2 linked regions of the Caenorhabditis elegans genome follow. The protein of the gene in region 1 purifies or fractionates together with the protein of each later gene. This does not show direct contact. Each region holds a gene or a part of one and is shown on either strand. Other genes may lie near its edges.

Evidence for each region.
Region 2: the proteins of R10E4.1 (region 1) and hrg-11.4 fractionate together in Caenorhabditis elegans (co-fractionation; one large-scale study listed by BioGRID). This does not show direct contact.

The regions. Positions count from the first base shown.
Region 1 is NC_003281.10:4,265,969-4,274,598, forward strand, and holds R10E4.1 (BTB domain-containing protein), read left to right. Parts: upstream 1-4,288; 5' UTR 4,289-4,302; coding exon 4,303-4,451; intron 4,452-4,659; coding exon 4,660-5,153; intron 5,154-5,198; coding exon 5,199-5,359; intron 5,360-5,955; coding exon 5,956-6,285; 3' UTR 6,286-6,535; downstream 6,536-8,630. Other genes in the region: sftb-1 (Splicing factor 3B subunit 1 domain-containing protein), read right to left, coding at 1-141, 201-470, 521-755, 1,160-1,247, 1,298-2,041, 2,094-2,756, 2,803-3,082, 3,155-3,298.
Region 2 is NC_003284.9:421,215-429,523, reverse strand, and holds the start of hrg-11.4 (VWFA domain-containing protein), read left to right. Parts: upstream 1-3,888; 5' UTR 3,889-3,898; coding exon 3,899-3,995; intron 3,996-4,334; coding exon 4,335-4,524; intron 4,525-5,455; coding exon 5,456-5,698; intron 5,699-5,795; coding exon 5,796-6,047; intron 6,048-6,301; coding exon 6,302-6,381; intron 6,382-6,428; coding exon 6,429-6,574; intron 6,575-6,832; exon of another isoform or gene 6,833-6,877; coding exon of another isoform or gene 6,878-7,612; intron 7,613-7,665; coding exon of another isoform or gene 7,666-7,800; exon of another isoform or gene 7,801-7,817; intron 7,818-8,309. Other genes in the region: Homeobox protein dve-1, read left to right, coding at 19-181, 232-531, 837-984, 1,525-1,703, 1,754-1,837; col-19 (Cuticle collagen 19), read right to left, coding at 6,878-7,612, 7,666-7,800.

The DNA.
Region 1 (8,630 bases):
AGTTGTATCAACCAATTGGCGATAGTTACGACGATCCATAGCCATTCTTTGATTCCAGAATGCTTTGAAGAAGCTTGGAAGTACTTCGTCTCGAATGTAACTCGCTTCTACTCCGTCTGTTGCACAACACTGCTTGACAACCTGCAAATTTAAATGTTAAACGATAGTTCTACGAATGTTTTGGTTATTATATCACTCACCTTTAAAACAATCTTTTTCATTTCCTCATCTGGCGATGCAAACTCGCGAATCAAAATGAGCATCACTTCTCTTGTATAATATGAAGCATATTCTGCGTCCATCAATGGAATCAGGTAACCAATAGCTTTAAGGAATGCAGCAAGACCTTTTCCACGATGCATACGAATACCTTTCCAAAGAGGTTTCAACACTGAATCGAAAGCTTCAATTCCGTATGGAGATGAAGCTTCGGCGAGAGCTGCCAAGCAGAGAGCAGTGATAGTTCGGACCTGAAACGATTTGCATCAATTCCAGAAACTTTAGAAATTAAAAAGAAAACCTTTTGCTGTTCATCATCCAATCCGCTTTCAACAATATCAACAAGTGCTTTCAAATGTGGTAATACTGCACAACCCATCAAAATGGCCATTTGTTGAACAATTTTAATACCCGTGTGCCGAGCCTGCCAACTTTTTTTACTTTTGCACACAGCTTTAAGGAATGGGAGGAGAGCTGGAATTCCGAGAGCTGAGGCGACGACAGCGAATGCACGAGCGGTTGTATTACGGACATATCTGCAAATTTTTGGGTTTGATTAAAAGCTTTGTGATGTTTTTTCTGCTTTAAATTCATTAAAACTGACCCGCAAATACCGAATTTCATAGTGAGATTTTTAAAAATCTAAAAAATACATTTTTAAAACTTTTTTTGAAAAAATTCGGTCTTTTCGGACTTTTTTAAATTAAAAACTAGTGTAAACCTATAGAAAATCACTTGATTAATCTGAAATTAACATTAATTTCAGCTGGAACGTTTCAGAAAGTTCTCAAAAATGGCCAAAAGTTGCCAGATTTTCTATAGTTTCAAACTAATTTTTAATATTTCTTCAATTTTTTTACTGTTTTCCAGGGAAAATTGAACAACCATATATTTGGTGTTTGTTTAATTGAAAAATCAACAAAACTGTCGACAAACTTACTCATCAACATTATCAATATCAGGCCTCATTGTAGAAATCATTGTTGCCAATCCAGCGGCCTTTGCAAGGTTGGAAATGATCTCACGACCTGAAAATATTTAATTTTTAAATTTTAAAATTTATTCTAAATTTTCAAACCTTCAACTCTTGCATAATAATCCTCATCGATAAGAAGTGGCTCAATGACGACAAGAATCTTATGCACATATGGTCTGACGAGATCATCCAATTTGTATAGAATTCGATCAATAACTTTTACCATCAAATGCCGTTCTTGATCCTCCAGCGATGGTGACATGAGAAGTGGAAGAATTTGATTGAAAAGTGGACCTGCTCCGTACTTTCGCGCGTTTTCTGTTATTTTTCTCAATCCGCTCTTTCTCATTGGCGGGGTTCCATTTTTGATTTTCAATAAATGCTCCATAATTTCCCGTTCATTTTTCTCTTCTTTCGTGAGTTGACTCTCATCTACATCCATCAACAACTTATCGAAATATTGCATATCATCTGGCTTTAGAGGTGGTAATTCTGCATTCTTAGGTTGAGTATCCACCAGACCACCGACTCCTTTCTCTCCGATTCCATCTCTATCTGGTGTTCCAGGCATAAAGAATCCTCCACCAGCAGCTCCACCCATTGGAGTTGGAGTGGCCATCAACTTCCGTGATGGTGTTCTCAGAGGAATGTAGTTCATTGGAGGAACCAGAACCTTGTAGCCAGGTGGGAATAGTGAATCGAGTTCTTCATCAGTCAATGGACGGTTTCTGTCATCAATTTCCTTCTCCCATCGGTAAATTTGCATTTGTTCAGGTGTCATTGGAATCATATGAGGAGCTGGTGTTTTCATTCCCATTGCTGCCGTTCCAATTGGAGTTGCTCCACCTGAATATATTTTATATTAATTTTATATTAATTACAATATTTTGTAATAAACCTGGAGTCATTGCTCCGATTGGAGTCTGTGAAGGGTGGCTCGGTGTGAATGATGGTGTCTGTAATCCGGAATGAAGTGGAGTAGCTGCTGCCACATTCGGAGTTTGTGATGGTGTCAGATCCCATCGTGAACGACGCTTCGATGCGGATGGAGTATCCTCAATCTTAACATCATCTGATCCTCCTCTAGCAGGAGTCTCCATTCCCCATCCCGGTGTCATTGATCCATCATTGAGATTCTCTTTTGGAGTTTCATCCCAACGATTTCTTCTCGGGGTCTGTGCTGCCGGAGTCGTTGACCATTTATCCACAGAAGGAGTTGCATCAGCTGCTCCAGTCGAGTGAGCCGGTGTTTCATCCCATCTAGCAGCTCTTGGTGTTGCTGCATCTGCACTAATCTTCGAAAATCCTAATCTTTTTCGTGGAGCAGAACCCTGAGATGGAGTTGCAGAAGCTGCACCAAGATTATCAGAAGATGCATCAGTTGATGGAGCTTCAGCATCCCATCTTCCTTTCTTTTTCTCTGGCTGTCCAGTAACATGAAGCTCTCCAGCTTTTGCTCGATCGGCAAGCTCCCGTTCAACACGCCCTTTCTCTTCATGGTACATCTGATCACGCATAACTTCTGCGTAACCTCGATTCCGATTGTCAGGAGTTTGATCAACTGAAAGAATAAATTTAATTAAAGTCAAAATGATTTTCGATCTTACCAAAAGCATCCGCTCTGTCTGGAGAGATCTGTCTCCTCATAGCTCTTTCGTGATACTTGGATTGTCGTTCTGCGATGGTTTTTGTGCGAGTATCTGCGAATGGATCAGTGTCCTCGGAGGCAGCAGCCACCTCTTCGATGAATTTGTGTGGCTGTGCATAATTTGTACTTTTCTTTTGTACACTCGGCATCGAATCCTCATCGACGTCATCTTCTTCTCCGGTTCCAATCGAGTCTAGGTAACTATCCCGATTTTCACCACGAACACTTCCGTAAACATCCTGAAATTGAAAAGATTCAAAAAGTAATAGAGAATTTTCAAATTTTCAAATAAAGTATTAGAATTCACTAACCGTGTCGAAATTACCAGCGGCTCCGAAGGCCACTTTATTTCCGTTTCCCTTATTCTCATCGTTGTCTTCGGCTGCCGCGGCACGCTGGTTTGCGACCCTTTTGCGGTTCAACTCCTGCGCATAAGCCTCGCCTGAACGAGACATCGATCTACAATCAATATTGATTATATGGAAGAAAGATTAAAGTTGGAAGGAAAAAAACTTTTTTTAGAAAAGATTTAGAAAACAACATCCTAAACTTCGATAGCTTGCGCGAAACCATTTTCAAATTGTAATAAACAATTGCAAAAATTTATTAATGAAATCACTAAAAAGAAATGGAAACCATAATCCTTTTACAATGAACAATATTCAAAGAAATACACTCAAGAAACTAAAATATTAATACCCTTGAAAAATAATGGATTATCTTACGAATTTTTATGAACATCAGACAGACAACAATATTTAAAGTTTTTCTGTTGTTTTTTTTTAAATAATTTAAAAGTTTTTAAACGTAAAATAACTGAAAACTGTCCCTTAAAAGGCGAAAATTGCATTCGAAATTTTGCACGAGAATCGCGTCAATGCACCGGTCGCGCGCCAACAGCACCTGCTGGCGCGCTCTCCGATCAGTGGAGGAAGATCGAAGATTGTGTTCACTTCAAGAGTTTTGACATTTCATTTGGAATATGGTGAGTTGCTCGTTTTAGTAGGTCTTTTCTGTTTTTTGTTGTTTTTTAGTGTTTCTTTCGACGTATATCGACTTTATAAGCAAATTTCCAATAAAATTGTGAACTTTTTTAAAAATTAATTTTTTTTCACCAACATTGTGGCCACTTTAAAATTGAAGCATAACTAAAATGTTCTTATTTTTAAATTTTTATTTAAAATAAAAGCTTTCTTATTTTTTTAAGTGGTTTTATCATGTTTTTGCTTTCTCGTTCTTATAGAGAGAGAGAGAGAGAGAAGAGACGCAGAATACTGGGGCAGCATATAGCATGTGTGTTGTTTAGATGTCTCCTTGCCCCTACAACCCTTTTCTATCGATTTCCCCGTTTTTTTCGGTCTGCCACGTGCTTCTTTTTCAGTTCATGCCTTTTCTCCTTTTATGAGATTCTTTTTTCCCCAACAAAATCTTATCGAAAATTTCAGGGTAAAGTCTGAAAATGGCTCCGAACAAGGCTGCCGCTGAAGAGTATCCAGTGGATATTGTGGATTTAAGTGATGATTTTAAGAGTAGCAAGACTCTTGATTTGGTCCTAGACGAGGAGCACAAAGTCTACAGATATTGGATTCATTTGAAGTGTATGAAATGGTCAGTTTTACTTCTAAACGATAAATTGTTCACTTTTCTGGAAAAAACGCTGAATTTTGGCTTTATGGTTAAAAAAAAACATAATTTTTAAGAAGTTGAAACTACAGTACTCTTTATTGTCGTTTCGAGAAACCGTATTTTTGCACGGAAATCGATCAACGTTGCTTCTGAGAAATAATATAATCCCATAACAAAACTGAATTGTCAGGCAAATTGAGTTGCGTGCAAATTCCTTCGAATGCTTTGCTGCTTACTTCAAAACTCCAGCCACCTGGTCAGCGGAAGTTGAATTCGAAATTCGGGCTCACGTTACAAACTCTGTGAGAAGCGAAAAGTTTACTGGACGATATACAGGATCCAATCATGTCTACTTTCGTCCATTGAAGCTTCAAGATCATATGGTTCGAGAGAAGCTGAGAAGTATGAGAGTAGAAATCACAGTGAATGTCATTAAAACTATGAACTTCGGAATGCTCTACGACTATTTTGATGTTCTACCAGAAGAAGAGAATGCTTTGTTGAAAGTTGAAGATCGTCTTATTCGTGTGAATAAAAGATATCTGTCAATGATGTCTCCATTCTTTAAAGCATTATTCTATGGAGAATTGGGTGAAGATAAAGAAATCTATGAGATGAAAGAGAAGTTCCGTGAGATTATAACTTTCCTCAGATGTATTTATCCACACAGACAACCTGTTACAAGTATGTTCCACAATTTTGAGAATCGAATTATTATCAAATTTGCAGAGAAAAGCCTCGACTATCTTCTCCAACTCGCAGATCGTTATCAATGTCAACCAATTGTGGATGCGTGTGAGATGTTCATGTGTGCACATTATCATGAATATCAGAAGAAGACGGAGAAATGTTTCTCTTACGTGGAAAAGTATAAGATGCAAAGAGTTTTGGTACGTTCAAACGTGGACTTGTGGGGAATTTACTATGAATTGCTCCCGGTATCTACAACAAGCGTGGGCGGCAAATCTTCTGCAAAACTTACAAAACTGTTTGTTTCAATGTTATAATTCATTATATTGAATGAATGAAAAACTGGTATAGAAATGAAGAAAATGGGTTGTACCATCGGAAAAAATATTAATTTGAGTTTAAAATTTTGAAAAACACCTCAACTAGTACTCGAAAGCTATCATTTGCCAAAAACTTTTTAACTGGAAACGGCAACTTTAACGCAGTATTTGAAGTGCTTTTCAAATAGTTTAGAGCAAAAATAAACATTATTTTCAGATTGAACGAATAGTTTTCTACATTTCTATATTCATTTTATATCAAATCAAAAAGTTGGATTTTCATATTAAAAGGAGGGGGGGGGGCAACTTTGTAAATTTGCCAAAAATGTTTCAGCCAAATTAGTAAACTAATTTAATAACCAAACTTAAATTAGATCTCATCCAATATATATAAGTACATCAAATTAAGATAACCATAAGTGATAGCCCATTTACTTTTGTTGCATATTCCCGTCTTGATATCTTAAATTTTTCAGCGAATTATTGTCGAATACGTGGCAGTAACCCAATCACCAGCTCAATTCCGTCTTCAATCATACTATCGAGATCTTTCTGAGAAGACACAACTTGCTGTTTTGGATTACATGGCAAAGAATCAAAGTCGACGTGGAAAAGAGTTGGAACGTCGTCGTGGAGTAAATTCTCATCGAGCAAACATCGATCCAATCGACGATCAGGATCCACCAAATGGACGTCTTCTTGGAATTGCTGATCCATTGAGAAATGCGGATCCACGTCCACCACAGCCTGGCTACAATGTTCCAAGATATGGAAATTTCCGGCCACTTGTATTCGGCCATCATTAGTATTTTATCATAAGCTTTACCCCCATTTCCATGACTAGAAATCTCAATTGAATTACATTAATTTGAAATCAAGCACATACACTCGAAAATATCATTCCCTGTCCATTTTATAGTTTTCTTTTTCACTTCATTTATTTCCAAAAATGATGCATCTTTCGAAGTATTTTTAATAATTCAAATTTAGTGATACATTTGTATGTAACATTTACGCTTTTCATCTTTTAATCTTTCATAATAAATGCTCAATAATCTATAAACTCTAGAAGAATATGTGAAGGATTTTATATGGTCTCAGCGGTTTGTAAAAATGTTTTCTACAAGAAAACTATTGAACCAATATCCACGGTAGGCAAAAACGTAAGCCTGAAAATTTGCCTACAATAGAAGGTTCAAGCGATAGACTAACGTATTTCCTGAAAGTTAAATATTTTCCGAATCATTTCGAATAATTCCCCCACTGTTTCCCGATAGCACCCGATATTCGCCAAAATTATGAATAACTTGGTTTCCACAAAAAACGAAGACTTTCCCAAAAATAAAAACGGCCCAATATCCCTAGTTTTTACTCATTCTCGAACCGAAATGCCACCGGAAATATAACTTTAGTTATATTCACTTTTTCTTGAGTCCCTGACAGTATTACATATGTCTAATTATCGTGGCAATTGGCAGATTCGTCGTCACACGTCATCAAATCTCGCCTGCTTTCTTTTGTGCACTGTACACTAGATTTATGACATGACGTCATCTGATGGAGGTCTGTTTGTTATTGAGCTATGGTCATTTTGTGTGTAGATTGCTCAGTTGCTCATTAATCCAAATCGTCTTTGTCGTTGCCAAATCCCACCTGAAGCGACCCGTGATGTGCACGTGACGGAGCACAGGAACAATTTGAATGCATGTTACTGGGTGGTTCTCTTCAGCTTTTGCTGGTGTTTTTAATTGTTAATTGGAAAAATACGAACACTGAAAAATTGCATTATTTTTTTAGAAACAGAGAATTTCATAGAATTGAAGAGGTTTGAACTTGCCATATGCTTCAGAAAAAAAGAAGTTTCGATCAAAACCTTTAAAAATCAGTTCTTTTGAATATGAAGGGTGTAAATATTTTGGATGTTTTTCTATTGGATTCTTATTGAACTCATACCTACTGATTGATTTCAAATTAGGAAAAACTTGTAAAAACCGGAGAATCTAGCATTTCAGCTTCGTCGACAACTATGTTCTGTTAAGTCTTTTAAAACTTGTAAAAACACTTCTAATTTTTTTTCAGAACTCAAAATGAACATTATGCTCGATCGTAAAGTTAAAAATAACTTTTTTATAAATCAAAATTGCTATCCGACTCCAGGGCTCTCTTGTCTCCTACGACGGTGTGGTGGGAGGTAGTTTGGAGCACTCCCTTTGATTTCAAAAAAATCCACGTGGGCCATTTTTGTCTTACATTATAAAGATCCCAATATCTAAAGTTCGTCAACTATTTTATAGCGAAATCAATCTAGACCGAAATAAGAAATATTCCAATATTCAAGTCGAAATTTATGATTTTTGATAGACTTGGCCTTTGTTAAATAGTTTTCAATGAGAAAACACACTGATGAACACTAGTCACTTCATTCATAATTTTAATAAAAAAGCATACAAGTCAGTTAACATTCAGCCATCATTTTCTTATCTGACTTCTTTTGCACATGAATACCATATGTTGTTGCCTACAGGTCCATCTCATGCTGACACACGTTCACGACTGCCTACGTGCCCACCAATGTTCCTACTTTTCACACACCCACCTGCTTACAGATCATCATCATGCCTATCTACATTCTTACTTCATGTCTACCGAATGCATGCCTCACCCCTGCTTGCTTGCATGCATACCTCTTACCTGCCACCTTACAACATTAAATTATTTTTTATGAGAAATCTTTTTTTTTAAATTTATTGTAGTTGTCGCATCCCCAATTAAATATACAATCAAACTGTGGAAACGAATTTATCAGCGATCCTTGGTGGGAAAATTCCCGTAAAAGAACTGGAAATATTTGAAGTTTTTCACTTTTGTTTACCTCACTTGAAAACTGGAAAAAAGTGAGACGTGTGAAAAAAAACCAATGCCCTCAAAAGTCAATTGGAAATTTAGTTTGCTTGTGAGTTTTGTAACCTGTTTTATTTATTTTGTAATAAATGACTAGCCCATTCAGCCATGACTGCGGTAGATTTTTTTATCGTTAAAAAAAATATATAAAATGTAGGTTTTGGAATGGGCTGCTGAGAAATTATCAATCACGTGGTCACTTTTTTTTCAAAGTTCAGAAAAGTTTGCTCAAAAACCACCTCCCCCTAAT
Region 2 (8,309 bases), on another chromosome or scaffold:
GTATGTATTTAATTTCAGCCCAACACAAGTACAAAGATTCAACACTCTTTACGAAATTCCACGTCTTGATAAATGGTTCAAATCCGATGCAAATCCATCTAAACAAAAAATGAACAATTACTTAAGCCAGCTCAATCAGAGTCCGTTCAGAAAGAACAATTCCAAGATCAGCTATCAACAGGTGAATTTAATGCGCCTACATATTACTCCATTAATCAAATGAATTTCCAGATTTGCAATTGGTTCACACAAAAACGCTCGAGTTCCCGTACCTTAGCTCCAGTAGACCTAGTGCAGGTCTCGTCAGCTCAGACAGCGGCGCAGCTGCTCCCGGGATTCCAACTCAACTTGCTCCAGTCCCTGTTTGGAGAACAACGTCAAAAATTTGATTTTTACGACAAACTGGATGAAACCAAGATTGTCGGCGGCTCCGACTCGCCATCTCCAGCCGATGATGAGATTCATAGCAATTCAGATGAAACTATTCAAGATACTTTGTTTTCCATCAATATTAAACCAGAACCGGAAATTGTAAGTTACGTTTGACTGTTTGTGCCATAGTTAGGTTGATTAGCGTTGCTCGTGCTGAAAAGCTTTGAAAAATCACGCTAAAAACGGATTTTCGGCTATTTCGATTCTGATTCACATTAAAGATAACATCTCCCAAATTGCTAAATATTACCGATAAGGTTATAAAGACCTAACACTACGGCCGAAAATCTGAATTTATTCCAAACTGTCAGCGTCGGCTGAGCGCCAATTAAAAATATTTTTCGACACAATTATGGTCCACCTTTAAAAATTATTCATCCCAAAACAAGCAACATTTCCTACAGGATTCAATTGCATCCTCCCCGGATATGGCAAACTCAATGCGCGAATCATTGTCCTCGACCTCCCCAAAGCTTCTCAGCGGGCTCGACCTCGGAGCATTCAGCACCCACTCATCATCCACCAACTCCATGCAAAACGCCAACTCATCAGGTACAACAAAGAGCTTTAAAACAGACAGGCTAACGGAAAAGAGAGGGAGATGGGTTGAACCAAGAACTCATAAATTAGAAGCGAGCACACACACACAAACACACATAGACATACACAAAGTGCGCGAAGACACATAACAAAGGGAGAAATGTGGGGCGTCGAATTTCGCACAGACAACCATTACGATCACTGAGATCTGAGGAAAAAAAAATGAGGCTAGGTATTGTGTTTACAGAAATAAAACAGAAAATCAACTGCAAACTTGATTTTGAGAAATATTCTAGGGATTTTGTACTGGCTCAAACTTATCGAGAAGGTGGCCATGTTCATGATACTCAGTCTGAAAACCTATATTGGTTGCTATCTCTAAAACGCTCTTAGATTGCGTTTGCTATGCATATGAAAAATGACTGCATAAAAATTCTCTATCTTTTCGACAAGAAAACTTTAAGGTGGAATTTTACTTCTATTTTTCGATAAAATCACTGACGCGGAACGTTTGAAAAAATTCAACGATAAAGCAAATAATCTCCGTTTTAGTGTTTTCAGCGGCTCGCTCACGCCTGATGTTCGACCCACTCACCGAGCTACCCGTCCTCGAAAAATGGTTCGAAGAGAATCCTCACCCGACATGGATGCAAATCGATCAGTACACACAATGCTTGAACAACTGCGCTTATCGAGAGAATTATCCGCATATTAGTCAGCACAATGTGAAGGTAATATTCTATATTAATACTGATTACTAGTTATCGAATTCGAATTGCAGATCTGGTTCAAAAATCGACGTGCAAAATGCAAGCGATTGTTGAATGGAATGCAGGAAAAGCTTGAGCAGAAGGTTTTCGTATAAAATTAAAATTTCCAACTTTTTTCAAAATCTTATTATCTTTAATTTCGAAAGAACATTAAGTTTTTCACATCAATAGTTCCTTCTTTAACCGTCATACTGGTGTACCCCTTGAATTCCTGATCTTCAGTGCCCCACAATTTCTCTTCAACGAAGAGCAAAATCACTACTTCATTTTTCATTCCAGCTGTGATTTTTGTCTGTAAGCTACACCTAATCGCTAGCTGTATATCTCGACGCATCTTTCGTTCTGCAAAACTTCTAGTCGCTTCTTGTCTTGTTTAACCTTGATGGGAAATTAAGCCGGCTTTAATTTCCTTCTTTCTTTCAATCAACAATTTCCCATCGCTTTCTTTGTCTCTTTCAATGTTCCACAGATCACATAGTTTTAATGGTTTTTCAATGTTTCCCTTCTTACCGTCACACTACTTTCCAATATTATTCATCTTAATTTTATGTCTACCACTTCCAATATCAATCTTGCCCACCGTTTTCTCAATTTTTTTTGTCAAATTTAAACTTTTCTCTGCTTTTCAGTTGTGCTTCAGCCCTTTATATGCCAAAAACTTTTATTCAGAATTTTGACATACAACCACGTTTATTTCTTTTTATTTGAATGTTTTGAGAAATAAAGTTTTTTTTTTCAGAAAAAAAATTTTACAAAAAATGGTCAATTTTTTATTTAAAAAATTGGCACACAAAAATAAAAACAGACATGATTGTAGGAGAAAATTTTCAGACTTTTCAAGAAATTATAACTTTTAAAAAGCTATTTTTGGAGAAAAAAGCTCCCTATTTTAACAATAAAGTTTTGAGCCATTTCACGCGTGCACCAAAAAAAATGTCTGAGAAAAATGTCAGGGGTACGAGTTGAGTTTTCCTTTTCAAATTTTTTGTAAAAAAATATTCAGAACACTATCTAGAGCGACAAAAAACTTGGTTGGTGAAAACTCGTTCTAAAATCTGGCACTGAAGTTACTTCCTTCCGCTAACAACTTGTCAGGTGCAATCTAAGTTTCGACTAAAAAAAACAATTATTATTTCAAAGCTGGATAATTTATTCGAATTTTCGAAATATTGCAGAACTGAAAAGAAAAGAAGTTTTCCATAAACTTGGATTGTCAGTCAAATCTTGCAAGGACGTACACGTTGTAGGTTTGCCTTGGAAGAGGTCGTCCACTTCAACATGCAGTCCAGTTATACTCACTAGGAAAGTAATTTAACTCACTTTCAGACTTTCAAATTGAATTTATAAGAACTTAAAGCGGGTTTTCATCAAAAAATAACAATGGAATATAAAGAAGTCGATTTGATATTCTCCGAGCACGTTTTCACTGCTTTTGTAACGTTTGCAACTATTACAAATGAGGAAGTTTGCAATTTTGTAATGCTTTTAATAAAGTCTAAAAATAGGCAAAACAATTTAATAAATTTTTTTTTTTAAATATTTCAGAATTTTTGTTCAGCCTAAAACGTCTTAACAATTGCCTCAAAATCTTTTTAAAGCAGTTTTATTTATACTTTTGCGGAAACTTTGCAATAATCCTATAAATAGCATAAATAAACATTTTTTAAAGTGAAAACAAAGTTTCATTGGTGGTTTAAAAAATTTATAAAGCTTTATAGAACGTTGCCAGTGTAATACAACTGTTAAAACATAACTCACTTGAATAAATCACATGAAAAATTGTTTGATTAATAAAAAAACTTGTAAGTAACAAAAAACCTGCAAGTTCTCGACTGTAAAAACAACAGCTGGAAGCAAAGTGGAACGCTTAACCATTTTTATTTCTGTTTCCCACTGTCTTTTCCAGAAGTTCCTGAAATGTAAACATTTTAAACTGAATTTTCACAACACATCAACCTCTGCTCTATTCGAATTCTAGATGAGAACAACTTGCCAATGGAAGAGTATAATCGCATTATCAGTGACAACTAATTTAAGAGCCTCAATTGGATAAACTAACTTTTTCAAACAAAAAAAACCTGATAACAATTTTATTTAGTTTTATTTAATTATTACATTAAGAAATATCTTCTAAATAAAGACGATTTTTCAGTAAAATGCTCAAATTTGTAATTACAAGTATTCTACTACTGCGGGTCTGTAGTGGAGTAAGTATTCCCAATAAAAGTCAACACGGCGAACTAACGAAAAGCTGTAAGTTTAAGTAAAAAACACGTAAAATTGAAAATATTGGCAAAAGTTTGACATATTGAAAAAACACAGCAGGCTTACTTAAAAATGTTTACATCATAAGTTCTGGTCCGAGTCACAACTACACGAAAGGTATTGAGCTCACTTTTGTGCTTCTAGCGGGAATTTTTATTTGATGAATTAAATAACCAACTAAGAACAATTTTTTCAAGAGTGAATTTGGTGGAAACGCCAGTGGATTCTCTTTCTGGCTAGGCCAAGCCAACACATTTAATAGAACCTCTTCAAATCTTTACAGAAAACGTTTTTTGACCAGTTTTAGCCAGAGGGATTAAATTTCAGTGAATTCGAAACTCAAACAACTTGTTGCACTAAATCTATCGGAACCTTCTCAACGGGTTCAACCTACCTTCTCTTCAAGACCGAAACTGTTGGATCAAACCTCTCCAGTGACATGCTACAATAAGTCAATTGATATACTGCCTCATGACGGTACTGCAAAATTTGGTGATTTAGTGGAGAGTGATTTCAGGTATACATTTTTAGTAGGGAATATTGTAGAAAATCGTGGAGTGCTCGGAGATTGCTAACCAGCAGTTCTAAAAATTGAGCCTGTGGGACATTTTCACTCAGTGTTTTCATTAAAATTTAGGAATAGAATCTGGAAAATGTTAATTCTAGTTAAAGGTGGAGTGGCGCCAGTGGGGAAATTTCTTTAAAACACGCCTATGGTACCAAAATGACCGAATATCATGATAAAAAAATGCAAAAATTTTTTCTAATTTTAAAATTTGAAAATTGAAAAAATCTCAGTTTTTGCCTAATTCCGATTTGAGTTTACGCCAATTGGATTTGTTCGATGGAGCGCACTTGCACGTTTTAATTTTAATTTATTGTTATTTTGTCATATTTTTCACCAATTTTCCATGTTTTCAATGTAGTTTTGTCTGAAATTTGACGAAAAAGTCAAAATAAATGCTAATTTTTGATTAAAAAGCTAATTCACAAGCGTGAGTCTGTGAAATCTGTAAATTCAAGTTCGAAATCGTTTAAATGCATGCATTTTCTTTCAAAATAACAATAAATTAAAATTAAAACGTGCAAGTGCGCTCCATCGAACAACTTCAATAGGCGGAAATTCAAATCGGAATTAGGCAAAAACTGAGATTTTTTTCAATTTTCAAAAAATCATATAAAATTTAGAAATTTTTTTTGAATTTTTTAATCATGATATTCGGTTATTTTGGTACCATAGGCGTGTTTTAAAGTACTCGAAAAAAAATACTCGAAAATTGTCAAAAACGTGAAACTTGTTGTTGATAGTAAAATTGCCATTTTTCATTTTTCCGGTTTCTATTTGCGATTTAATAATAATCTAAAACTCTATCTGGATTTTCATTACGTTATTCGAGAACCAATACCAGATTAATAACATGTTTCATAATACATACACATATCTTCAGTGCGACTTGCTCCGACACTTTCACTTTTTACGTCGACAATTTTATCGAAGAGTTCTTTGTAATTATCAATACACTCGACGCCCTCAATCCGCGGGCAACAGTTTATAATCCGATTGGAGGCGAAGTGTCCACATGCAAAGATATCACCACGGACGTCACTCAAACAATTCACCTTATCTGCAACGGAAAGAATGTTCACGGAACTGGAGCGTATACGGTTCAGCTCTCTGCAGATTTGAACAAGTGAGCACACAATTAAAACAAGATGACCCAAATTGTGAAAAAAAAATCAAAAAAAGACTCTTGAAATCTTATCTCATTTAAAAATAAAATCATTCAGACCGTGTATATTTGAAGTCCGAGCTCCAACAAAGCTGACAGTTGATGGTGGGTTTGTAGAGGATGTTCGTGACGATGACGTTCAGAAAGTAATATTTTCCACTGCAAATCAAGGAATATTCCGTTTCCCACTTGAAAATCAGGCAGCATTTTTAGCATTTAAAGTCGAGAGTGAAGAATTTCCAATTCATCCCGATGAGGTGCATCTTTATGTAAACGGCCTATTCGATCAGAAAATGGATTTGAACTTGAGGTGAATGTTTGAGAGTGATAAAAATTTGGAATTGAGTAATTTTTTTCTACATTATTCAATAGAATCAATTTTTCTACATTATTCAATTTTGGATGATCCAAAAAAATTGAAGGAAAGTAAACTTTTTTCTGTTGAAAAAAATACATGTTTATATTGCAGAAGCATTTTTTAATTCAAAAATAAAGCCTGAACATTTAGATTTAACAAAGATGAATCATGAACATAATTGCTTTGGCAGAAAAACCATTTTTCAGATACGGCTGCAGTACCCCTCATATCACTCAACAATCTTATAACTGTACGTCTCAAAACTTGTATCATGCCAAGTTCAGAGGTATTTCTCCTTTCTATTTTCTCCCTTCTCTCATTGTCGGTTTCTAGGATACGATAGTGATGGAAACAGGTTCCAGAGAATCTACGACTTTAGCTGTGACCTAAGTGAAATTACATTCACAACACCTTCCGTGCACGTTTCGACGACGCCAGCAAGGTTTTGTGAAAATGGAGGAATTCTGTATAATGAAACGGTACGTAGGTGGCTTTATTTTCAGGTGGACTGGGGCTGCCCGGCAAAAAAATTTTTTTAACTGGACTATATTTCGAAGGACAATCTTGGTATAATTTTCTATTTTGGTAAATAATTCTAGTAGTTGGTTTTTAGAGTTGGTTTTTAAAAAGTGTTCCAAATTAAAAAAAAAAAGAAATTTGCCAGATTTGAAAAGCTGAAGTATTTTGATTTGCATGTGAAATTGCAATTTAAAAAAAAGTGCAGAAACAGAACACAATTTGGAATGTTCGAAAATTTATAAAAAAGACAGAGAAAGGCAGAATTAAGCCTTGTAAGCTGCACGAGATGGGCATGGACAATATCCAGCATCTGGTCCTGGTGCGGCATCCTCTCCCTTTTGTCCTGGAACTCCATTCTTTCCTGGATGCCCTGGTGGTCCTGGTCTTCCGGCGTTTCCGTTCTTTCCAGCCTCTCCATCGTTTCCTGGTGCTCCTGGATTTCCGGCTGGTCCGGTTTCTCCGCGTGGTCCTTGTGGTCCTGGACGTCCTGGCTGTCCTGGCTTGTACTCGGTTCCTGGTTCTCCACGTGGTCCTGCTGGTCCTGGACGTCCGGCGGCTCCTGGTCTTCCTGCATCTCCCTGTGGTCCTTGCTCTCCTGGTCCTCCAACTGGTCCTGGTGGTCCGCGTCTTCCGTTTCCTCCGGCTGGTCCAGCAGATCCTGGAAGTCCTGATGGTCCTTTTGGTCCTGGACGTCCTGGTGGGCACTTGATGCATCCTCCTGGAATATCGTGGGTGATGGCAACAATAACTCCAGGAGCTCCTGGCTTTCCATCGTCTCCATCGTGTCCTGGATTTCCCTTCTGTCCACCCTCTCCTGGTGGTCCTGGTGGTCCAGCTGGGCAACCCTCGGATTTTGGTCCGCAGTTACATTGCTCGAATCCAGCTTGACGAGCGGTACGGGCTCCGAAGAGAGTCTCAAAGGTTGGTGGAGCATTTGTGTGTCCGGTTGGGTTGATGTGCTTGCTCACCATACGAGCCCAGGTGTCTTGGGTGATAGCCTGAACACAAAGTGAATTGATAACAACACTAACTTCCTTTATGTAAAACTTACTCTAAATTCAACCATACCATCCTGGAACTCAACTTGAAGCTCCTCGATCTCATTGAGAAGGTTTCCGATGGTGTAAAGCGAGGCAAGAACGCACACAAGTACTCCGCAGGATCCAACCACAATGAGCTTGCCCATGTTGATGAACTGATGTCTTTCTAAATGGTGACCGTTTCCTTTTATACTGAAAGTTGCTGAGAAAGCGAAAGTTACACCTTCAAACCTAACCAGTGTAATCTAACCAATTTCATTTTTCTGCCAGGAAAAAAAATGCGTTTTTCATTTGATAGATAATGTGTTTCCAAGAGAGATGGACAATGAAATTTAAGGAGAAATTTCTTCTATCTGTTTTTTTTTCTGGTTGGGGAAATCGGAATTTTTTTGAAAATAAAGACAAAGCGAGTGTTTTTCAACGAATAATGTTCAAAAATGAAGTTCAATAACTAATCTCAAAAATTTTCTTTCGAGAAAAAACTATGAATTATCTGGAGTTTTATTGTTTTTCAAAAATTATATACTCCTTACTTCAAGGATTTGGGCAAATACTAAAATATTACCTAGCTGGGATACTAAAAGAGAAAGGCATAAGTTTGGTTTTAAAATTTATTTCCAAATATTTCTATCCTATAATACAAAAATTTTTGAAA